Linked DNA regions of Drosophila melanogaster. The protein of the gene in region 1 purifies or fractionates together with the protein of each later gene. This does not show direct contact. Each region holds a gene or a part of one and is shown in the gene's direction. Other genes may lie near its edges.

Region 1 (13,603 bases):
TGGTGTTTGCCGATCCCAAGCAGTTGCAAGCACTCAACGGCATTGTCTGGCCGGAACTTATTGCGGAGGTTAACAGGCGGCTGGATGCACTGCGTTCCCAGGCGGACGTGCCGCGTGTGGTGGTCCTGGAGGCAGCGGTGCTGCTGCGAGCGGGCTGGGAGACCAATTGCCATGAGGTGTGGTCCATGATTGTGCCACCGGATGAGGCTGTGCGGCGGATTATTGAGCGCAACAAGTTGAGCGAAGTGGAGGCCCAAAAGCGACTGGCCAGTCAGGTGCCCAATTCTGAGATCGTGGCCAAGTCGCATGTGATATTCAGTTCGCAATGGGATCACGAATTCACCCAGAAACAGGCGGAGCGTGCGTGGAAAATGCTTACCAAGGAACTGGACTCTTACCAGAGCAGCCTTTAACCCGATGGATATTTAGATTATCTTGTTGATCCTTATTTTGTATGATTTTTTATGCATTTGTTGTATATTGTTTAGTTGTAAGTCCAAAGTTGAAAAGAAATGCTGGGACGTCATTGGGGAAAAACGCTGAAAATTTCAATGGAACCTTAGTGGCTCTCGCCCTTCTTGCCAGCCACTCGCTTGAAGTCGTTCATCTTGGTGGTCATGATGGGGGAACCGATGAAGCCGATATAATCAATCTGCGTCACATCGCCACCTGACTGATTGTTCTTCACGAAGATTTGGATGTTTTGCACATTCTGGAACTTGACGTAGCGCAGATTCACGGGCACTCCACTCTCCAGCTCCTTCTGAGCCAGGCTGCAAAATGGATTGAACAGTGAGAAGAGCTAAGCAGCCATAGAGAAGGCAATAGCTACCTTAGATCCTGCACACTGTTCATGGACTCGGCCATGTCAAAGTCAATCGTGCGGGGCTGGTTAATGAACAGCTTCACATCCTTGGGACCCAGGTGCGAAGGTGCCTTGAACTTCAAAGAGTGGATCTTCACAGCCTGATTAAAGGTGATGGACAGGATGAGCTGCTCATCGCAATCGGACTGCAGGTAGCCACCGGCGGAGGCCAGGGCGTGCTTTAAGTTGTGGTCATCAGCTTCGTTGAGGCACTCGCACTCCTGCTTCGAAATAAATGTATTCAGTTCCATCTGTAAGAAGGATTAGGGATTATTTTTGGAACATTTCCAAATACTGCACTATATTACCAATCCCTGCCCGTAATCCTCGCCCCCCTCCTCGCCACCGGATGTACCGATGTGCTCCTGGATCTTGGCCTCGAGCCCATTGACGTCCGCACCCTGGACGCGATCGATCTTGGTCCTGTTCCTGTAGAAGATGAATGTTGGCATGGCCGAAACGCCCTGTCCAGCAGCCGTGTCCTGGCACTTGTCCACATCCACTTTCAGGAAGATGGCCTTTGGGTACTTTGTTGGAAACGTCTCGAAGATGGGCGCAATCCGCTTGCAGGGACCACACCACGAAGCTGTGAAGTCCACCACAACCAATTGAATGCCCGCTTGGGCCAACTCCGCCTGGAAGTGGGACTCGTCGTTGATCACGCGCACGGACATGGTGATAGGATTAGGTTTCTATTAATTGAGCTTTTGTTTCGGCAGCCGAATTGGATTTAAGCAAGTAAATGTTATTATTAACGTTCAATGCAAATTTTTTTTGTTAAAGATGACTTGTAATATGCATTTAGTCCAAATTCGTGCTAAGAAAAATACCGAATGCGGTATTCCACAAGCGGTCACACTGTGATGGTATCGATATTTCGAGCTCTTTGACTTCCTATTTTTAGAGGGACCATTTATGTGTAATAGAAAAAAACCGAAACTTAATATTTAAACTTTTATTGAAATATTAGTGGATTACAATATGTAAAACTATGAAATATTCTCATTTGATATAGCTCAAAGTGTTATTTAAAATTCATTCAGTGTTTACGACTAGCAATCTACGCTTTCACGCTCATCTTAAGCTTACCGCCCATTTGCCAGGGTTGTCAAGGCGAATGAGCGGTCCCACCATACACGCCACTGGAACTTTCGATACCTGCGCTGCGCCTGGCCACACGTTCATTACCTCGTGGTGTTTCAGTCGGTCGCATTTTCATTAAGTCGCCATTTTAAAATTATTAGAGTCAAGTACAATGGCAGATGTGGAAAAGGAGCCCGAGAAGACCATCGCCGAGGATTTGGTGGTGACCAAGTATAAGTTGGCCGGCGAAATCGTCAACAGTGAGTATTCCTTGGCCGGAAACAGCGAACGCTGGCCGATTCCTGGAGTCGCTGCTACGTGGCGCTTACACAATGCACCGAATGCCGCTTTCCCTTGTGCGCCACGCGTTGGTTAATCTGCCTATTTCTGGACTCTGTCTGCTCGTTTAATTTTAGAAACCCTCAAGGCGGTAATTGGACTCTGCGTGGTTGATGCCTCCGTCCGGGAGATCTGCACCCAGGGCGACAATCAGCTCACCGAGGAGACCGGCAAAGTAAGTGGTGGCCACCTGGCGGTCATTCGCGCCAATTTCATGTCCAATGATTAAGACTTACACCTTTGAGGGTTTCCCGATGGCGAGCCATGTGCTGTGCGGGCTGGGGATCACCTCGTGGTCGCCAGGCGCACGCGGGGACTCCAATGCTCCACGTGCCCGGCTTGTGTGCTCTCCAAAAGGTCCCGAGGATTTACAGATTATGAGATCTGAGGACACACCGCGCACTATCATTGATATATAGTACAACGAACAAGCAATCTAATGCTTTTATCGATCTTTCACAAACAGGTATACAAAAAGGAGAAAGACCTGAAGAAGGGCATTGCCTTTCCCACCTGTCTGTCCGTCAACAACTGTGTCTGCCACTTCTCGCCAGCCAAAAACGATGCTGACTACACGTTAAAGGCCGGTGATGTGGTCAAAATGTAAGTTGAACCTCCTATTCCACATATACCGCCACTAAATACGTAACATTTCTTTTCTACAGCGATCTGGGTGCCCACATTGATGGTTTCATTGCCGTGGCCGCTCACACAATTGTGGTAGGCGCTGCTGCGGATCAGAAGATCAGTGGTCGCCAGGCCGATGTCATCCTCGCCGCCTACTGGGCTGTCCAGGCTGCCTTACGTCTGCTCAAGTCCGGCGCCAATGTGAGTCCTCCCTTACTTCTAGGTAATCCTCCGTTAATCCCTGCAAGAAACGGATTGTCTGCCGCGATTCTCCAGCGACTGAACATCTCAACACTTGCAAAGATCAGCTGTGGCAGCTGGTAATTGCCCTGGCCTATTATTCAGGACTGGAGGCTTCTTGTCAGTTGTCCACAAGGTTATTTCTTCTGCAGGCAACGGATTGACTGCGCTCAAACTCTGACACAGATCAGCTCAACACCTGCGGATAGAAACTGTGTCAATTTCGTGAACTGAACAAGTTCATTCCATAGAAGTGTTCGGTCTTTAAATTTGTCCACATCTCCAGTTTATAGATATGTCGGAATTGTAATCTGCAGGCAACGGATTGTCTGCTGCCTTAACTCGTGGCTCAGCACAGCTCAACGTCTGCAGAGATCAACAGTGTCGATTTCGTGAACTGAACAAGTTTAGATACTTGAAATGTTCGGTCTTTAAAGTTGTCCACAATCGCAATGATAATGCCGATCAGTTATTGTTATTTTGCGTTATCTATAGTATACTATGATATTTGATTAAGATTAGTCAAAGGGAATTGGAATGTTTTCTTTATCTCTGCTTTGAACTATTTCCATTTTATTTCATACTTAATATTTATGTTTCAATTCTGTATCCTTACAGAACTACTCCCTCACCGATGCAGTGCAACAAATCAGCGAGTCGTATAAGTGCAAGCCCATTGAGGGCATGCTCAGTCACGAGCTGAAGCAGTTCAAAATTGACGGCGAGAAGACGATCATACAGAACCCCAGCGAGGCGCAGCGCAAGGAGCATGAGAAGTGCACCTTCGAAACGTACGAGGTGTATGCCATCGATGTTATCGTCAGTACCGGCGAAGGAGTGGTTAGTAATCCATCAATAGACACTACATCTCCACTAATTTGTTCGATGATTAAAAACACGCGCTTGAGGCTGACTTTGCTGGAATGCGGTGTTTGTTGCGAGAGTGACTTGTTTGCTCGGCGTTTTTTTATACTAAAATGCGGCACGTGCAGACACCAAGTTCCGGCTGGCTGTTGTCCGAAGATTGCAAGATTATGAGATCTGAGAACGCCAAATTTAAGCTGGATCCTGGATCATCGCAGCCAGAGCATTATTGCTAACATTATTCGTATTCGTTGCAGGGACGCGAAAAGGACACCAAGGTCTCAATTTACAAGAAGTCTGAGGAGAACTACATGCTCAAGATGAAGGCGTCCCGTGCTCTGCTGGCAGAGGTGAAAACCAAGTACGGAAACATGCCATTCAACATCCGCAGCTTCGAGGAGGAGACCAAGGCCCGCATGGGAGTTGTTGAGTGCGTCGGCCACAAGATGATTGAGCCCTTCCAAGTGCTGTACGAGAAGCCATGTAAGTGTGATGCATATTATTATTAATCCTATTCCCTATTATGCGAGTTGGCAGAACTTAATTCCGGACCTGGTACACCTTCGGGTGCTAAGTGCGGCCAGACATTTTGCCAGAACAAATTCCAGGCATTGTCGTCTTCAGCAGTTGCCTCAGTGTGGCCTCTGTCTGAACATGGCACTGTCACAATCGTATCCAATCTATTAACCTGTTTTCTTATACTTATTAAAGTTAATTTAGAGACTAAACTAGTTTGAGCAACCTTTATAAAGTTCGAATTTTAGCCGGAAGTAATAGCAAAGTTAAACAATCCTTTTCCTTATCTTGCATTACAGCCGAGATTGTGGCGCAGTTTAAGCACACGGTTCTGCTCATGCCTAACGGCGTCAACTTGGTCACCGGCATCCCATTCGAGGCGGAGAACTATGTGAGCGAGTACAGTGTTGCGCAGGAGGAGCTCAAGGTAAGCTGCAACAATTTCCTTGTATTCACGATGCGTACTCAATGAAATCTCAACTTTTTGCAGACTCTGCTCGCGCAGCCTTTGGGTCCTGTGAAGGGCAAGGGTAAGGGCAAGAAGGCAACAGCTGGGGCGGCGACAAAGGTGGAAACGGCGCCGGCCGTGGAGACCAAGGCATAGACCAGCCCGCTGATGATGATCCGCACCGCCAAGCCATCAACGGAAACACAATGTGAACAATTGCGCTGCCCAACGCTGCGCTCCACAGATTTTTACTATCGAATTCGTTGCGTATTAGAGGACCCTTTTGACAACAGAACAGGACAGAAGAGAAGACGGCAACAATTTGAGGATACATTTCCCCAGAAATCCTCCATCCATCAACAAGGCGGGCGGTCGGTCGGTCCCGCGCCAACTTTACCTCTTTATTTCCTTTACTATAAGCTGCCTTCGTTTATCGGTCTGTTCAACATCATCGCAACGAAAAAGCAAAGCAAGAACTGTCATCAAATTGTAACAATTTTAACGCTAAATGATCTTAAAATATAATTCAAGTGAAACGTTATTAACGCTGCGTAGTAGGTATTAAATAAAATTAACATTTTCTATAAAACAGCCGATAAATGCCAAACGATTTTTCATTTATTTACTTTCCGCTGGCGCCCAATTTTAATTCGATTTCGATACGCTTCTCATTCTAATAAATGCACTTGCGAGTTGTGTTTATTTTATACGTTTAATTTAGTTTTGATGTTCACATTCACATTATACAATTTGTAATTTAGATTTCTTGCCTTTTGTTATTTTAAATTTTACAGTCTCATCTTTGAACTCTTGTATTACGAAAGTTGCAAGAATAACTTCGTTATGTTAAACGTCACTTAGTGCTGTGCTCACTTGGCCACCCCAGTTGTCCATCCCAGATCCAATCCCAACAAGACCAGACCAATTCGATGCCGTATACGGCGACTTTGCCCAACTCGCTGACCTCTTCCCTTGCGTCAAACAAAATAAAGAACAACAAAAAACGCAATTGCTGCGGATGAAGTATAGAAAACACGAGCAGCACTTGCAGACGACAAAGATATGTGGCCGGTGATCAAAAGAGGATCTGGGATTTAATGGTCTGCCGTCGCTTACATACATGGTTTGGTGTACTTTTTTTTTTTTTGTTATGATCGCCGCGACTGTTTTCTACTCGCCAGACTAATTATTGACATGCACGTCCATCGGTGCGGAGGCGGTCACGTTGCTCGACTTCTCCGGAGAGTCCAGGTAAATCTTCAAGGCACGTTCCCGGCGCTGCGCATACCGCGTGGTGGACACGCAGCCCACCCGATCCAGTCGTGCCTTCTCCCTGGCGTTCATCAGGCGTCGCTCCTCCAGCGTCAGCTCTCGCGCAGGTACCGTCCTATCTCTGTTGAATTCATTGGTTAGTCTAGGAACTGAACTGCCACTTGCTCCACGCTTACTTGTACAGGTAGATGTTTCCTGTCTGTGTGCTATTAAGCGGATATTTGTCCAGGGTGGTGGGCACGGAGTACCAACTGCTGGACTCGTTAACACTTAACGCTGATATGCTTGTGCAGGGGAAGTTGCTGTTCAACTGCAGAGAAGACCAATTAGATCAATATACACAGTAGAACGCAATTTTACGAACCTTCATATAGCTCAGTTTGTCTATTGGGATGTCGCTGATCTGTGATAATGAAAGTCTGATTTCGCTGTCCTCTGCAGAAGATACGAGTTCGATTTACTGCTTACAGGGCAATATACAGATTTAACTTACGGTCCAAAGTGATTTCTTGGAACTTTCCAAACTCCAGTTTAGCCGGACACCACCGTCTTACAAATAAAGTCAGAGAATCGTCCTTGGGCTGCGGGTCCACTTCCTCCTCGCACTCTTGCACAATGAACTGAAATGGTGTGATATAAAATCCAAGTTAAGTTTTTTTCTCATCACAGAGACAGGGGAACCCACCTCCGCTGCGATGCTGGAGCGCATGTCGCAGTAGAGCGTTTCATCGTCGGACAGAATTTTGATGGGAATACGTCCGCCCTTCAGCCAGATGCGACAGTTTTGCACAGACAGTGTGGCGTACTTGGCGTCTATGCGATGCAGCTTGGCCACCAGTTCCTTCTTGGCCTGCTCCGCCGTGGTGTTGGCATTGTAGACCCACTCGCATACGCAAGGCAGTTTGGACGTCTCGTTATCAATGTCCGCCAGTCGCAGGAAGTGAATCTTGGCCTTGAACTCGTCCGGCTCCAGCGTCTTACCCAACTCCACCGTCAGTGTTTCGCCTTCTATGAGATGTACCAACGAGTTGTTCTGGTTGTTCGACAGATTATTATCGTGTTTCCGCTGCAGTTTAAAGTGGGCGGCGGGCACTTGGATCAGCTGCTCGATGTGTTTCTTAAAGGCCCCCATTCGCATGTGTGTGCCCACCAGCAGCTTATAGGCACGCGTGGGCTTACGCAGCTGAGCCTCTTCGTCGGACTGGTGACCAGAACTGGAACCGGTGCCAACCACATCCACGCACTCGACCTTTGTGGCGTAGAAGAAGTGGTTGGTGCTGGTGGGCAGGAGCAGCGGATCCACCACATCGGCCGCCGCATAACTGCCGTTTCCATTGCAGTAGGCATGAACGCGCATCATGGCATCGTGTGAGGCTGCTTCGTCCTCCGGACTAGACAGCTGCGGCGAGTGACTGGTGGAACTGACTTGGCTGTCGCCTCCACCGCGATGTGCCATGTTGTCCGTCTCCACCAGAGTTCGGTCTCCGTCGCTCAGACTACTGTCCTCCGAGTTGGACTCGTGGCCGTGGCTGGGACTGGGTTGTGACATGGGTTCCACTAGATCTCGCTTGTAGCGCCTCCAATCGTAGTCGTTGCTGGATGACATGTGACCAGGTGCCACGCCATTCATCATTGCAGCATCCACAACATCACCCCCGCTGGCGCACTGAAAGGACAGCCAAAAATTAACCTTAGTTATAAACCCAACAGCTGTATAACCTACCTCGACTGACTCAACGGTGGGCACACCGAGCATCTCAAGGGTCGCGGCATCCGTGTTGGGTACGTTCAAGTAGAAGTATGTTATGGACTTAAACTGGGTGTTGGCCATGTTCTGGAGATGTTGCAGGGCCTCCGGCGTCGGATGCGGATCGTAGGACACGAAAGCCTTCGGCACCGTGGCGCGCACCGTGGCGAGTAGGAACTGCTGCTCGCTAATGTGCAAACGGAGGGCGATCGAGCGGCGAAGGACGTCGCTGGCTTCCCGCTCCCGCGCTGCTGAGTAAACCAGGAAGGGACCGTCCATCGCCATGGTCGATAGATCTACCTTAAACACATACCAAGTAATGCCGTTCGGCGGATAGACCTCAAACTCTTGGTCCTCGGCCCGGTACTCCAGCAGGAAGTCGAGACTGTAGTTCTGCGCCGCGCGCAGTTCGGTCAAAGCTGGGTCTGTGCAACTCTCCAGGGACTGAATAATCGTGTCCATCGAGGAGTTGTAAGCCACCAAACGACAGCGGGAAAGCGGCGCGAATTGTTCCACATTCAACATCTCATAGGCCGACATGAGGACCAAGTTGATGTTGAAACTCTGCGATACGTACACTCTGGTAATCTTCATCTTCTTCAGGGAGGGATTATAGAAGTAGACGCGCGGCTTGTACAAATCCGGAAGAGCCAAGTCCGTAACCGTGATATGCCTGCCCAGGCGGGACACGCGCGTCTCCTCCTCCGAGTGCAGCTTTGGTAGCAGCGTTTTGATGTGCTCAGGAAAGTCGGCCACCTTGGCGACTAGCTCGTTTCTTTTGGCATCCACCTGCCGGTACATCAACATGTATGCATTGGTGCTGGAGGTGTAGGCACTGGAGTAGTAGCTCCCGTTGGGTCCGCCAAACGAACGTTGGATGTCCTCTTGGGTGATCTATGGATAGATAGTCGTTCAATATTTTCTCAAGTTATGAATGTGTTGCGAAAACCTACACTAGTCACGTTCTGATCGTTAAAACAGAACCACTCGTTGTTGTCGAAGTCCTTAATATAAGCATAGTAGTGTCCGCCCGAAGCGCTGCCTGAATGAATCATGATGGCGAACAGTTCGTAGAGATACGGACCGGATCCTTGCTTGGCGCTCTTGCTGGTGCTGCTGCTCATGTCGATGCCTTCATCCTCGTCGTTCAGATCGTTTTCGTGCTGACTAGAGCTCGCTGTGGTCACCACGCCGCTGCTCAAATTATCGTCCTCCATGGCGGATCCACTATCCGCCGTGCTGCAATCGTCCACGGTGCCGTTGAGCTGAGAGTTTTGCTCACCGCTGTTTCCACTTCGGTTAATGAACGTGTTCAGGTTGAGCGTCTGAGGGAAGGTCACTCTGAAATAGAGGGCGAGCATGGAATTAAATGCTTATGGATTATGGCAAAGAGACTAACCTGTCGTTTAATTTGATGCGGTGCATGGTCTGGTAGTCAAAGTCAAAGCGTTTAAGGTGCAGCGTGAGGATGTAGGGAAAGGACTTAAAGTGCAGTCCCTTGTGGGCGTCGCATTTTTTCTTGCACTTCTCGCACAGATACTGGTTATTGCCATCGAGTGTTTCGGGCTGAACGAAGGCACGCAGAGCTTCCTCGATGCTGCCGTATGCGGAGCTGCTTCCAAAGGGCCTCACAGGGAGCGGGATATCTAGAAAGGTGTCCTCGCGCGTCTTCTCGGTATTGCACTCCAAACACTTGACATAATCATTCATCTTGCCCTCGTACAGATTAGAGATGAGATTTGCCTGCTTAGTGTTCTTGAATTTGTGCTCCAGAGCGTCGAACATAACTCGGCACAGTTCCTGGATATCGTGCTGCTGCCATGCCTCCGTCGAGTCCCACCCAAAGCTGCGAGTCAGGTCTGTGGTTTCTACCGCCGCTTTGGGCGAGGTCTGCAAGTTGAGGAAGAGCTTTTGCAGTTGGTATGGTATGTTCTTGGCCTCGTTGTCATTGTCGAACTCCCAGCGGTACAGAGCATTTCTGAACTCGGGTGTCATAAAGAGTGCCTGCAGCAAGCTGTTTAGATAGCAGGTCATGGCTTGGTTGACCAAACCAACATATCCCCTGGGACCCAAGCTCGCCTGCCTTGCCTCTGCCTCAGTTTCTGTGGTGGCCGAGGACACGAAGTCCGCACCCGTTGTGTTGACTCTCTGCCATGCTCGCAACTCATCGCCTCCATACTTGCGACGATAGAAGTTTGACAGAGCCGGGTACGTACCATCGTCTGTTCCAATTGTGGATGGGTCTGTCACTCCGGTCACACCCTCGACGTCCGAGTCACCGGTCGGAGCTCCGTAATCGTATCCAGGTCCCAGCATTGTCGGACTAGCAGATGCTCCGAGTGCCAGGTCGTCATCCGACAATTGTTCAGCATCTGAGATGAAAAGATCTGAAGGAGCATCGTCCACCGGTGAGATTAGGTTTCTACCTTGTGGATACAGCTGCAGTTGCTCAGAGAGCTGTTGCTTGCTCAGGGTGTCTACTGGTTCGCAGTCCAACTCTTTGATGGGTGATGACGGCTTGATTGGACTCAGCAACTCTAAAGTCGGCTTAGAAGTGACCTTGGCCGTTTTCTTGGCCACAGGACTCTCCGAAGAAGTGTTTTTAGAGTTTATCTCTGTAGACAGCTCGGGACATTCTTCAGGGCTAGCCCTGGGAGCTTTTTCCGAACCGGGCTTGGAGATCTTTGCTGCAGTCGTCTTGATCTTGGAAGTCTTTTCGGGACTTGATTCCGAACTGATGCTGGTCTTAGCCAAAGAGTCCTCACTCGTCGTCTTGGCCTTGCTTGGAGAGGAAGATCCCGAAGCTGGCTTCTTTTTCGTTTTCTCACCAACTACGCGTTTCTTCTTCTCGCCGGTGGCAGGACTCTTGGCCTTCTCGCCGTCCGACTTCATAACCTTTTTGACTACCACTCTTTTAATGGGTAACTCAAAGCGTTTGGTCACGTCACCATCCCAACTGCCGGAGGGCAGCAGGATCAAGTGATTCTTCAGCTGGGGCTCAAAACCAGCCACTTCGTACATCAGCTGAGATTCCAGGGCATTCAGATTGACCTAAAGTAAAGGGGAATTCAATTAGCGGTTTATTAGAACCTCAAGATGTGCAGATATTTTTACCAGATCCTTGTTATCGTGTGGCTGCAGCAACAGCTCGAACTTTTCGTACGAGAACTGCGTGCCAATAAGGTCAATCACGCGTTTCACCGTGAAGTGGGAGCGGACCACTACGTTGATCTTCTTTTGCTCCGAGCCGGGTGTCTGGTCAAAGACCGAGACGGTGCACTGCTCGCTCTCCTTGTCCGTCATGTCCAGCCCGCGGAATAATCAAGTGATGGTGGAGAAAACCCTGCAAAAAGATTGTAGGCGAAACGTTGGCTTTACTTATGAATTTTGTCTGGAGTTTTCTTTTTATTTTTTTTTATTTCTTTATTTTAGAATTAAAAAGGTGACACGACACCTTTGACGTTTTCGGCGGGGCCAAGTTCCTGGACATGACGATGCTTCTTGGCCCATAGTAAATAAGGAAGAGATGCCCAGCCCCAAATTACTGCGAAATCTTCTTGTTTTCGACCCCATTCGCGAATAAAGCGGCAGAAACCAAGAAGATTCCGTCCCACCTCCCGCAGCCGCAGATATTGACGTGCTCCGGGTTTGCTTTTCGCGCCTTATTTGTACGGGCCAGCACCAGTTGCCGTATACATATATATATATATATATAGATAGATATACACATATAGCACGTACACCCAATCGAGCATCGACTGCCCCCCGAAATCGACGTCGTGACTAACGCGCAGGGGAATTTCGTAAACAACCGGCCATCAGAGTTGCCTCCGGAGGATGCTACGGGAATTATTATTTGCCTCCAATGGACTACCAACGTCATCATCATCATCATGACCATAGCTATCACCATCGGGCGTACCGAATGCATAAATTTCAGTGCAAATGTCGCTCCATGTTTCAGCTGGCTTCCTTTGTGGCTCCCCGCAAGACTCTGTAACGGAAGTGGTGGCTATTATACGAACGAATATCTGGCGCCTTCAATTCGGCAGTGCGCATATTGCAAGTGGACGGTGGACATATCCATATGTACAAATTAATACTTATCGGACATCAGCGTGAACACTGCGAATTATTCTAGAAACATTTGTAGAATTCGAAAGATTTAAGGAAAGCAGATGCTGAATATTAGGCGAAAAGCGATTGAACTACTCTATAATATGCAGTCAAAAATATCATCGATTCGCCTGTCAATTAATTGTATCTAAAATTATACTTTTCGAATGTCTATTTTGGCAATAATCTTTAGTGATTCGTACTGCTCAGCATTTAATTGAGTGTCGCAAGCAATTGGGGCCGGGGTATTTGCAATGTTTTTCCAATTCTCTGCACCGAAATAACCACAAAAAAGACAGCCAGTCAGCCAAGATATTTTGGGTCTCCTCCGAATGGAGGATGCACATCCACGATGTGCGATGTGAATGCGCTGCAATTGGGCGTTCAAACACATGTTGGATGGTCCAAACACAAACCGCATTGCCCGGCAAGGGAGCGAGTGAGATGGGGATCCAAAAATGCTAATACACGTCGGCCAGCACAAAATCAAAATAAGAAACCCATGCTGCTAAAAATAAAAACTGGCGGCGGCGACACAACGACACATCGGAGCGGTCGGAAAAAGCACACAGGCGAGTGGAGGAGCAAGATATAAGACAGCTTTGGGAGCGTCTTGAATACGCGTATATCTGGCTATTTGTGAATGCGAAGGTTTTTGAGAAATTCAGAGAAGCGCACAGACTGTTCGAATACGTCTATCCTATACATCAGAATGGTCAGGCACTTTCAACACATTGGCCCCATCCATCCCACTCAATATTTACATGATGACGATGATCTTTTGGTCAATGTTTGTGTTGGTCGGGTATTACAGAAACCGATATCGCGAGTTATCTATGCCATATACACGATCCAATGGGGGGACGGCGGGAGGGGCAACAGTCATGCTCGCATATATTTGTGCTATTTTTGAACTATTTCGGTACTGCGAAATCTATGTGATCTACAAAAACCATGAGATGTCTGAGATATGACTGCTGAGTGCCGGAAATTGTAGGATTCTCGATTCCCGATCATATAATGCATTCTCGAACAGAAAATCTCCATTACGAAATGCTTTCTATTCTTAGGCGTCGCACAACTTTAATTGGAGCTTCCAATGTTGTGTGAATAAGTGTGTATATATCCGTGGTCTATATATGCAACGGATTTTGGTGAGTTTTACCGTCTGTGTCGGAACTGAGTGTGCCGAAATCTTTCCGAACTAGAAGACCGCACCGTCAACGCACGGCATAGTTCACGCGTGTACTGGCCGCTTAGGATGCCGATGCCGATTCCGATTGCGATCCGAAGATACACCACCCGATCTGGCGCCCGATCTTTGGCGAAGCGAGCTACGTGTTAAGTTCTCGGCGTGATGTACTATAACAATGAGAAACAGTTTACTTATCTGGCTTACACTTCAATAGGAAAACAATACTTTTATATAGCTTCTATAACTTCGGGGTGCGATAAGAACATGAATACAGATACACGGATTGCAACA
Region 2 (11,164 bases), on another chromosome or scaffold:
TACAACTTTGCCGCCGTCGATTGCTTAGATTTTCGGTCAATAAAAGTCAGTCCCTCGTCATGGTAGGGATTTGCGGATACCCTTACGCGTTCCAACCATTTGACCACCTTTGGGAACTTTTTCTCGTCCACTCTGTATTGGCAGAGCCCTTAAATACAATAAAAATAATTAGTTTCGTTAAGTTATCTCCACACTAGTTTAACACACTCAGCTGGTTGATTTCGGAAGAGCCAAGGATATCAGCCATTGTCAGGTTTTTCCCAACCAAAAAATCATTTTCCAGCCACAGGCGCTCCAGTAAACCCAGATTGTTTTCCACTCCCTCAATCAGTGCTTGAATCTGCTCTGGCTTGGGCTTGGGCGCTATCCCGTTCATGGGAAACAGCCAGGCATCTCGAAAGTACATGGAACATGCAAGACGAATGTTCAGGTGTTGCCACTCAAGGAACTCATCCACTCGGGCACGGTTCTCCAGCGTCTTTGGGTAGAGCTTCTCATCGAACTGACCTTTGTCTGCGAGATATCTGCAAGGGGGCAATGTACGATCCAAATGTGAGATTGCTTTCCAATGATGGCCTTCCCATACCTTATAATCGCTATGGTCTCAGACAAATGGAAGTCCCCACCCACAATGGCGGGCACCTTCTGGAATCGATTGATCTTCTTGTACTCGTCGGTCAATTGCTCAACTAATAAAACATAAATGAGTCGGGGCAGTTTAGATGATTACTTTGACTCACATTTTCGCAGGGCAATCGGGCAATACTCAACGGGTGAGTTGCTGAATTTTAAACCAATCCATAGACCACGGGCGATCGGGGACAACAAATCGTAATAGAATCTAATTGGCTTGGACATGGTGGTCAATTGCTCCCGTTCCTCAGCCCCAACTTCCAAACAGCCGGCAAAAACGAATATCTTCAGCTGGAAAATGAGAAATTGAGCAAAGCTCCAGTCAAAAGATCTTGAGTGTCACCTTGCAACACTGGTTTTATGCTATTATAGTTGTCCCGCTTTAGGAGGCAAATTCAAAAGTGGCTCCCAACTTCAAAGATAGTTATATTATATAAAGCGAACATATGAAACTATTATTGATCCGATATCACCCCTTTTCATAGTCTCTAATTATTTTAACATTTAGGAGTTTTGCAGCGCAGAACTGAACACAATAAACATCAGATAAGGCACAAAAATGTTTTAAAATCCTAATAAATGCAATGAACAAAGAAATCAGTCAAAATCGAAAAGAAATCAGTTTTTGGCCTTGACTGCCTGCTGAGAGGTCTTGTAGACGAAGCTGTGGGCCTCATCGTAGTAGGGATTGGTAGCATCACGAACGCGTTCCATCCACTTGGCCACCTTGGGGAATTGCTTCTCATTTACGTTGTACTGGCAGAGCTCTAAATTACAAATCGTTATTATTAGAATTTATTTTAGATACAGCAGTGGGCTCAGTCTTACTCATCTGATTAATTTCTGAAGACCCGAAGATGTCTGCCACGGTAAGTTTGTCGCCGACTAAGAAGTCCTTTTCCAGCCAGAGGCGTTCCAGTAGACCCAAATTACTCTCCACATCCTTGATTAGCTTCTTGACAGACTCTGGCTTGGGAGCCGGCGCCAGTCCCTTTGCCGGAAGAAGCCACACCTGACGGAAGAACAGGGAGCAGACCAAGCGGACATTGAAATGCTGCCACTCGAGGAACTCGTCCACCCGCGCGCGTTCCTCCAAGGTTTTGGGGTACAGCTGTTCACTGAAGACTCCCTTGTCCGCGAGATATCTGAAATGTGTCATTTATCTATAGTATTAACCTGGCAATCCGAGCTCTGGATACTTGAACTTACCGCACTATGGAGACACTCTCGCCCAACTGAAATTTACCATCCACGATGGCCGGCACCTTTTGGAACCGATTTATACTGCGATATTCGTCGGTCAATTGCTCCTCTGGAATATAACCATCCCAAATGTTAGAAGATCTTTATACCTTATATACATGTGTAACTTGTTATTTATTCTTACGTTTTCGCAGGGCAACCGGGCAGTCTTCAAATGGGGTCTTGCCCAATTTCATAGCAATCCAGAGGGCGCGGGATGGCTGCGATAGGAAATCGTAATAATACTTAATAGCCTTCGACATCTTGGCAATTAATTAATCAGTTAGCTTCAGGAAGCCCGGTAAACACGAAAACAAAATATATTTGTTGTCGCTGATGAAATGTCAAAAAGCTCAAAGCAAAAAGCTTTATTCCGGTCCAAAGTTCAAACTGGTCGCTTTTCAACACTGTACCCAAAATGATATTGCCATCCCATCCCATTCTATGGGGAATCCGAGAAGGGCGGGCAAATATATAAGTTCAAAATAATCAGGTGGTGGTAAGAAGTCAGATAAAATATACCAATGATCAATAAAATTAAATGCTGTAGCCTTGCTTTTGTCATAACCGAAAGCTTATCGATTTCACTTATCGGAATCTCAGTTCAAACAGCGATATGTCAACCAGTCATCAAGAACCACAAAGCGTTTATCTCGACCAGATAAACACATTACCCTTACCCCATTTATGAAGAAGGCAACCCCAAGTAATACCATTTATGTTTTAGTTATACCGACATTTAAACAAATTCGCTTTAATTTATTAACGCACTCAACATGGGGTCTACAGTACATTGTCACATTTAAATATAGTCATTTAACTATGTATGTATTATCCATAAATATAGAGATGCATGTATATGTATGTGTAAACTAGTATCAAAAATTAGTAAAAACGACACTTAACCAACTGAAAAATTATCCAAAATATATATGTATGCTCATGTACCGTATTTATAAAAGTATGCGATAAAATCAAAGCCAACAACAACTTAGCACGCAAGTAGAAGACGTTGAAGATTTCATCATGAAAATGCATTATGGGATCATGGTAGAATGAATCGTTCGACCGGACGTTAGAATGTGTATAAGTATGTGCGTGGATAAGGACAGCAATAAATTAAAATCGACAAACTTGTGAGGTTTTTGTGCCATTTGATGGCGATCCATTTGCTTCTTATTTCGTTTTAGTGTGCACTTGTCGTCTATAATATTGTTCAATTTGCTTTTAGTTTCGATGTTCCTCCCTTATGGTTTCATTTATAAAATATCAGGTTCTGCTATGACCAAAGATCGCTTTAGCGCTGTAGTGTCTATACATTCCAGTGTGTATATATCGGGCTGTGTGTTAAATGGGTGTTCTATAGGATGTGCATCAGAATATACAACTAACTGCCCGATCATTGACTCAATCGAAGTTAATCATTCGGAAGGTTCCGTCGTTCGGAACGTCGGTTACTAACGGAGCACCCCTTTCCTGATCCTTCTCACTGGCTTCCCGCAATTTCTCATCCACGCCATATCGCTCGTCTTCCGTGAAGTACGGGGAAAAGCTTAGCAGCTGGGTCTCGTAGCGCGTCATTGCATCAGACAAAGATCCATTATCGCCGCCCATTTCCACGGGTAAATACTCCAATCCAATTGCCTTTCGCAGAGACGCGACGGTGGAGTGAATGTGCAACTGTAGGAAGGGTAGCAAAGAGTTAGTGGTTCTGCATCGATTTTCCCTTTGAACTCACCAGCTCCTTTTGCTTCATGACATTCCGAACCAGTCCAAGGACAAACTGCGTCTCCCTGGATGCATTGACAATGTGCGTGGCCACTAAATTCGCTGGAATTCCATGCTCTAGGAATGCATTCATCCGCTTGAACATGCCAGGATCGAACTGCAGTAGCAGAGAGTAGGGTATCTTGGTGAAGTCGATGATCTCCACCACGCCGGCTATGTTCCAGTTGTCGTCCGTGTTGATCTCGATCTCAGCGCGAAAAGCGTGGAAGCGGAAAATGTCGCTGACACTGTGCTTGGAAGGTTCAATGTGACCCATTCGTGTGTAGTGGATGCGGGGGCCACCAGGGCCAATAGGTTTGGGCAATGTGGCGAATATTCTGCAAAAGAACAAGTTTTTCTATAACACCCACCTCCAGAAAATGAGGGGGGTCCCCGCCTTACCCTGAACGAGCCAGTTCTATCAGCTTATCGTCCACCTGGCGACCCTTGAGCAGTTCTCTTTCCTTTGATTTGTAGGTGTAGTAGAAGAGTACCCTCTTCTTGGCCTCCTCTACGTCCCAGCGGCAGAAGCGCAGAAAGGCCACCAAGAACTGATCGTCGGTCCGCGCCTCCAGGTAGATCTGTTTGTCGATCCAGGTCCTTAGCGCCTCGATCTTCGCAACCGTCGAGGACGGATCCTCGCAGAGCTGCGTTCGAGCCACCTCTGCCAGCTCCGGCTCCAGCGATCGTATCTTGGCCATGGTCACAGGGAATCTGCAAATCGATCGATACTTGTCTTAATTTTGAGATACGATACCGAAGGCTTGGAGTGTGCTAAGGTGTGTGTGTTCTCTCGCCAGGTGCGAACACGACTAACAGAAAAGTTTGCGCCCGCCTGCTTGGACTGGGTTACCGATTCTGATCGGTTCGGGAACCCTCCCGGATTCGATAGCGGGCACACTGGTGCAGAAGAACGCGAAAAACACTACGGCACGGAGCAAACTCACAATGACAAACCATTTGAGCACCAGATTATGTGATATCAGTGGCCGATAGAGCAAACACAAATAGCAATGTTATGTGAATATGATAAGTGCACTGGAAAATACATTTGCACCTTACTGGTTTCGTATTGGTAATCTCAATTTTGTAATGCTAGTATAAAGTTTAAAAAATTTTATTTATATAGGATGATATATATTTGGATATTTTTAGTATACTTCTTAAGCAATCCAGCCTTAAAATTGCGATTTCATTGCGATTTAAAGATGATAATCGATTTTTTACACCCCCGATAAATAATAAATTGTTCAATCAACTTATATCTTTAAAAAAAAATACACCCACTTGATATGTCATTAACTTTTAAACCCCATAATTGGGTAATTCCTGCCAACTGTGCTTTTCCGATCCGGTGATAAGATACGATCTGCATACTCACAACCGTTTGAATTGTGGCGTATTTCTATCCACAGAGTCAACTGCTTCTTCGCCAGCTGCACGCTTACACGCCATAGATGCAGTGGAGCCGTAATCTTATCTCCTCCGAGGAGAGACTTCGACCGCCTACACCCAAAAGATCGGGTTGGATTTGATGGGCCGTCGGAGCAAAAGAGAGTGGTGGAAATGGTCGTGTCCGCTATCAACTGAATGAGTGGCCATAAAGGCAGCTCAGATTAGCTTTTAACGGTTCCGTTTCGGCCCGGGGATTTTGGCCGCCGTGCGATTAGGAAGAGCGTTTAGTAGCCGTCCAGCCGCCACGAAGCAAGCGACTTCCCAAAAATGGCCAATCTGCGTCCCCTGAGCGCCGAACTTCGTCGCATTGCTGAAACGGAGCTAAACGAAGTGGAGGAGCGAGTGCCCGCGGATCTGAAAGCTCTTCGGGATTGGTTGGCCAAGCAACCTCATCTGAGGGCCCGCCAGGATGACCAGTTCCTAGTTGGCTTCTTGCGAGGCTGCAAGTTTAGCCTGGAGAAGACCAAGTCCAAGCTGGATCACTTTTATACTATTAAGACGCTTATGCCTGAGCTCTTCGGCAAAAGATTGGTGGACGAAAGGAACCTAATCTTGTGCAGATCTGGGTGAGTTAAAAGGCGCTCATCAAGGATATTTAAAAACTTAAGAAACTTAAATTTCTATTTAGAACCTATGTTCGATTGCCCAAACCTTGGGGAACCGATGGCCCCCGCCTGCAGCTTACGAACTATGAGAAATTCGACCCTAAGGAATTCAAGTTATTGGATCTCTTCCGCTACCAAACCATGATAACGGAACAGTCAATCCGTGAGGATGACCACAGCAACATTAGCGGCTACGTCGAGATCGTTGACATGGCCAAAATGAGCCTCAGTTTTCTGGCCCAACTGGATTTCACGCTCATCAAAAGGATGGGAATATTCGCTGAGAAGGCACAGCCCACTCGCTTGAAAGGAGTCCATCTGATCAATTGCCCCAAGGAGGGAGTGGCGTTACTGAATTTGGCCAAGAGCCTAATGCCCAGCAAGCTCCAGCAGCGGGTGAGTAGGCAAGAATAATTGAATAGTCGTAGCCACTCTAGCTAATTTATTTTCGTTCCCTTATCGGACACTTCAACGAGATTATCAGCTGGTCTAGCAGGCAGCTGATAGGCGTTGAAGAGCTGTGGCACTCTCTCACCCCTGAACTATTAATTAATATTTCACAAATCAGAGCCACTAACTTTCGAGCTGGGTCCGCATACTGTGAAATACTGTGTGTGGAGCAGCATTGCCTAAGGTCAGTTGACCACGCACATGGGCTCTTATCATTGAAACACTGGGCCGAGTTTTAAGATACGGGGGGAAGGTGCAAGTAGATATATCAGCGAATAGGAGAATAATCTATTTCCCTGACTCATCACACACATGGCTCTCTACTTTTTCAGTTTCACGTGTATAAAAATCTCGAGCAATTAAACGAGGTGATACCACGCGAATACCTGCCGGAAGAATATGGTGGCAACAATGGACGTATAGCCGACATTCAGGCGGAAGCGGAGAAGAAATTGCTGTCCTATGAGAGCTATTTTGCTGAGGATTCCCAGTACGGAGTGGATGAGCAGCTGCGGCCTGGAAAGCGTGTTAATGCGGATTCAATTTTTGGCGCTGAGGGATCCTTCCGAAAACTCGACATCGATTAAAGTCGGAACGTGTTTTAATTAGTATTCAATAAAAGGCAAAAACAATCCTCAAAACAACTAACTAGACTTCTCATGAGAATCGCCGAGAGCGACGCGACAGATGGCCAAATCGCAGAGCCATTAGCTTTTAGCGAGCACTATCTGTGACACTTGTTAATAGCATTGTCAATCACCTAACTAACTAAATGAAGTGGGATCAAGTGTTGGTCATGTTAATTTGACGAACGCTTAGGCAGTTCCTCTGCAAAAGGCGTCGAAGCAGGAATCCAACGGAATGGCTTCGGTTTCCAGCAGCGACGATGTTAGTAATGAGTAAGATTTTCATTTCACCGTAGTTATACCTTTTTCATTTAGTTTGACTTCGGCAAATGGGACTTCCCAGCCGAGCGCATCTGGCTGCACAAGCCCAATGGGGAGATCACCTGGAAGATCTGCACTTTTCTACCACTGATTGCTTTTGGTCTGTATGGAAACTTCAGCATGGTTTATGTGATAGCCACCAACCGTTCTTTGCGCTCGCCCACCAACTTGATTATTGCAAATATGGCCGTTGCGGATCTACTGACCCTGGCCATTTGTCCTGCCATGTTCATGGTGAACGACTTCTATCAGAACTACCAGTTGGGATGCGTGGGCTGCAAGCTGGAGGGCTTTTTGGTGGTGGTCTTCCTCATCACAGCCGTGCTCAATCTCTCGGTAGTCAGCTACGATCGTCTCACGGCCATCGTGCTGCCAATGGAGACGCGCCTCACCATAAGGGGCGTCCAGATAGTGGTGGTCTGCACCTGGGTCTCGGGTATCCTATTGGCATCACCATTGGCTTTCTATCGCTCTTACAGGGTGCGAGTGTGGAAGAACTTTACGGAGCGATATTGCAAGGAGAACACCTCTGTGCTGCCCAAGTACTGGTATGTTCTGATCACCATTCTGGTGTGGCTGCCATTAGGCATCATGCTTATCTGCTACATAGCCATATTTTATAAGGTAAGCAAAGAAAGTGTGCTCATCCTGGATTTTTAACTAATAAGCCAACTCAAAAACAGCTTGATCGGTATGAAAAGCGGGTCCTAAGTCGCGAGAACCCGCTGACAGTGAGCTATAAACGCAGCGTGGCCAAGACACTGTTCATTGTGGTCGTTGTCTTTGCAGCTCTACGACTGCCCTTTACAATCCTGGTTGTACTACGGGAAAAATACTTCGGTGAAGATGTCTCTGTCAGCAGTGGAATGCAGCTATTCTGGTACATATCACAGTATTTGATGTTTCTGAACGCCGCCGTCAATCCGCTGATCTATGGCTTCAACAATGAGAACTTTAGAAGGGCCTACTACCAAATTTCTTGGGTTCGCCGATGGCGAGACGCCACCCAAATGAAGAAGTTTTCTCGATCACCAGACCACTGCTGCTACTGTGCCTTTATGAAGAATGGAAAACGAACCTCAGAGGCAGCACAAAAGGCAGGAAATTTAGAAAAAGACATAAGCAAGGATATGTCGTCGGCACAACAATCGGCCAAGTCAACGAAGATAGTTGAAAATGAATTTGTATCAGAAATCGAGGCAGACGGATTTATATAAAAGAAATTTAAGAGAAACAAATAATACATTTAAAAGCCAATGTACCAAAATACGAACTTCTCTCTGCTCTAATACACCCACTATGATATAGGGTACCAAACATATGACAATCATACTAAATAAAGCTTTAAGAACCGTAAAATATCATGGCCGGTAGTAAAAGTTATTTTGCAACCAGTGCACGTGTTACAGTTTGAATGTTTCGTTTTGTATAGTTTACACAAAATAAATATATGTATCAAATCTGTTGCAATTTGTTGATCTTTGCGGCTGTGATCGCCCGCGTGATCAGTTTTGAAGTAAACTTCCGGGAATCCTATCCCACACACTTCCTGAACTCAGATCAGGAATCGATGCTCCACAAACGGGCGACTGCTGTGCCTCAGTTTTTCGACCAAGGTTTGAAATGATATAACAAACTTTATTAACATGTTAAATTTTGATGGGAAATCCAGTGCTCAGGCTAAACCAAACAATTCCGACTTCATGTAGCCAAATCCGTGGGCTTCGAGGAATCGAATGAACTGGCCCATGTTCATGACGCCTTCTTCGGCATTAAAAAGCTGTTCGCTGAAGTCCTCGAATCCCCGCTTGCGCTGCCGAGGCTCCGTCCGCACCACGCTGATCTTCTGCCAGCGCAGGGCCTTGATGGTGCGCCAGAATTCCTGTACATTTGCCGAATCACCTTCCACGCATATGATGCCCGGTTTACCGGGTCTACTGAATCCTGTGAGCTCCAACTGTCGGGCCTGCCGAATCAGCTCCTGCCGCTTGGCACTGGATTTGATGTGATGCGAATAAATCCAAATTCTCTGAAGTTCCGTAGCTGGTGGCTGTTGCGGGTCTGATGATGCTACCTGCTGCACTTCAAACTCGGAAGCTGGTCGTTTTAACAGATCCTCGATGCGGTCCTGCAGCCAGCTCAGCAGCTGGAAGATGTACGGCTCGGCGTCCTCCTCCCGCCTTTCACCATGATACTGCTCCAAATCATTCTTTAAGCGCTGCTCCTTGGATTTTCCCAGTAGCGTAGTGTGTACACTGACGCGTGCCTGCTCCAAAAGCGGATATAGGTGCGGCAGTTCCACTCGCACTTCCACGCACTGTTTGCCTGGTAGAGTCAATTTGACCACATACTCCAAATGGGATAGAAGGCTAGTAGCGGGTTTTGTCTTATCATCCTTGAGAAACTCATTGAAATCAGCCACTACGCCGGCATCGAGCATATGCAGCTCTCCGGGCGCGCAGTATATGGAGCTCAGCAGCTCCAGCTCCTCCAGCTGCAGGCCAACGCAGCGACGGTAGGTTTGCAGCTCCTCATCGGCCATGGCTAACGAAGAGTTAGAAAGAATTGTTTGGTTTAGTCAGCGGCGACGGATTACCTACGGCTCTATCCTAAAGATGAAAGTACAAAAAGCTGAAGAGGAATCTTTTGTGATTAGTGTTTGTGCAACTTATTGTCTAAAACACTTTATGCCTCTTCCAGCTAGCTTTAGTTTCGATGGACTAGAACGAGTGGCCTCCGTGCCGGTGTCTTTTCCCCTTGACATTTGCATCCTCCAACTGCCCACGGTCAAGTACGCTACGGCCTTGCATAAAAATGCCGCAGGAGTGCGTCACTTTGCCGTCTATACCTGGCGTCCAGCTGAGCAGGACTACCAGCTCCTCGTGGAGTTGGAAACACCTAAGGCAGTGGCTCTGGATTGCCTGGCCTTCGCTGGGCGTGGCTACGTAGCAGTGAGCTACAATCTAACAGAGCCCGTAAGCCAGGCCCGTGAAGGATCACCCATCTATGAGATTTCCCCGGAAACGGGGATACGGACAGTGCAATACTTTTCGGGAACACATCTGCGTGGAATGTACCTTCGGATCAGCAGCCAGGAACTTACTCTACTGCATGCCTTCGAATCGAATGCGCAGTGTCCCTACTTCAAGTGGATGGGCAAGAGTTTCCAGAGACTGGGCGCGATTCACTGCAGCAAAGCTCGAAGAATGGAGGCCTTCGGCATTGACTACACCGACTATGTGGCCGTAGCCAACTACGCAGATGCGGAGGGACGAACTGCCACCCACTCAGAGATCTTTCGATGGGATGCCAAGTCCCAGAGATTCCAACTCTTCCAGCGACTGCGCAGCAATGGAGCCGTGGACGTAAAGTACTTCAGTCTCCCAGTAAACGAGGTCAGCCGCAGGCACTTTCTCATCCTGGGCAACACAATTGGCGGAACTGGCGCCGAGGTGGGCGATGCGGACACCGTGATCTATGTCTTCGAAAAGGGGCAGTTTGTGCCGTATCAGCGATTGAGTTTCTATGCCTTGGAAAGGGTTTTGCCAGTTCAGGTAATTTCGGATCAAACTTTTCATGGCATTCATAAAATGTGGAATCCTTTAGCACTCAATATCGGAGAAGTTTCTACTCCTGGTTGCTTGTAATAAACAGGATGTCAAGATCTATAACCTTAACGACTGGCGATTCGAGGAATCCAAGGTGCAGTTCACCGAGGGAGCTTTAAGTCGTGGTGTGGCACGTATGCGAAGCTATGAGGAGGGAGATCAAAGCTATTTGGGTAAGTATCTTTGGGTTTTTATACATCGTATGCTGAAATTTGCCTATATCCAGTGATTGCGAATGAGAATATGGCTGCCAACGAGACAAACATCTTTCAGCCACTCTACAAACAAGATGAGCATGCCAACATACTTCGCCAGCAAATCATTGACTGGGCTCGGGAGCAAAGAAAGCGATTGGAGCAAATGAATTTAGATCATCTATTAATAAGATTGAAAGTAAGTTTTGTGTTCTAAAAGATTCAAGTAAGTAAAGAATTCATATGTAATATGTAGGACAAGT

Evidence for each region.
Region 2: the proteins of CG10576 (region 1) and CG30339 purify together in Drosophila melanogaster (affinity purification with mass spectrometry, with the first as the bait; one large-scale study listed by BioGRID). This does not show direct contact.

Annotation. Positions count from the first base shown.
Region 1 is NT_037436.4:5,753,946-5,767,548, reverse strand, and holds CG10576 (uncharacterized protein), read left to right. Parts: upstream 1-1,846; 5' UTR 1,847-2,120; coding exon 2,121-2,208; intron 2,209-2,364; coding exon 2,365-2,462; intron 2,463-2,502; exon of another isoform or gene 2,503-2,688; intron 2,689-2,753; coding exon 2,754-2,890; intron 2,891-2,952; coding exon 2,953-3,115; intron 3,116-3,154; exon of another isoform or gene 3,155-3,291; intron 3,292-3,299; exon of another isoform or gene 3,300-3,436; intron 3,437-3,464; exon of another isoform or gene 3,465-3,603; intron 3,604-3,772; coding exon 3,773-3,994; intron 3,995-4,126; exon of another isoform or gene 4,127-4,204; intron 4,205-4,275; coding exon 4,276-4,501; intron 4,502-4,548; exon of another isoform or gene 4,549-4,689; intron 4,690-4,833; coding exon 4,834-4,961; intron 4,962-5,024; coding exon 5,025-5,138; 3' UTR 5,139-5,586; downstream 5,587-13,603. Other genes in the region: Ppat-Dpck (bifunctional phosphopantetheine adenylyltransferase - Dephospho-CoA kinase), read left to right, coding at 1-413; Txl (Thioredoxin-like), read right to left, coding at 560-773, 833-1,116, 1,174-1,539; Usp47 (ubiquitin specific protease 47), read right to left, coding at 6,165-6,375, 6,431-6,564, 6,619-6,689, 6,748-6,874, 6,940-7,920, 7,978-8,895, 8,955-9,342, 9,401-11,052 and 1 more.
Region 2 is NT_033778.4:9,597,061-9,608,224, reverse strand, and holds CG30339 (uncharacterized protein), read left to right. Parts: upstream 1-5,323; 5' UTR 5,324-5,364; coding exon 5,365-5,663; intron 5,664-5,725; coding exon 5,726-6,098; intron 6,099-6,484; coding exon 6,485-6,739; 3' UTR 6,740-6,794; downstream 6,795-11,164. Other genes in the region: GstT2 (glutathione S transferase T2), read right to left, coding at 1-148, 208-524, 587-689, 741-858; GstT1 (glutathione S transferase T1), read right to left, coding at 1,252-1,400, 1,462-1,778, 1,843-1,945, 2,021-2,138; CG1902 (uncharacterized protein), read right to left, coding at 3,283-3,555, 3,614-3,980, 4,045-4,343; CG30340 (uncharacterized protein), read left to right, coding at 7,014-7,040, 7,094-7,723, 7,783-8,316; CG30338 (uncharacterized protein), read right to left, coding at 8,775-9,641; clos (closca), read left to right, coding at 8,550-8,715, 9,800-10,653, 10,706-10,880, 10,934-11,100, 11,158-11,164.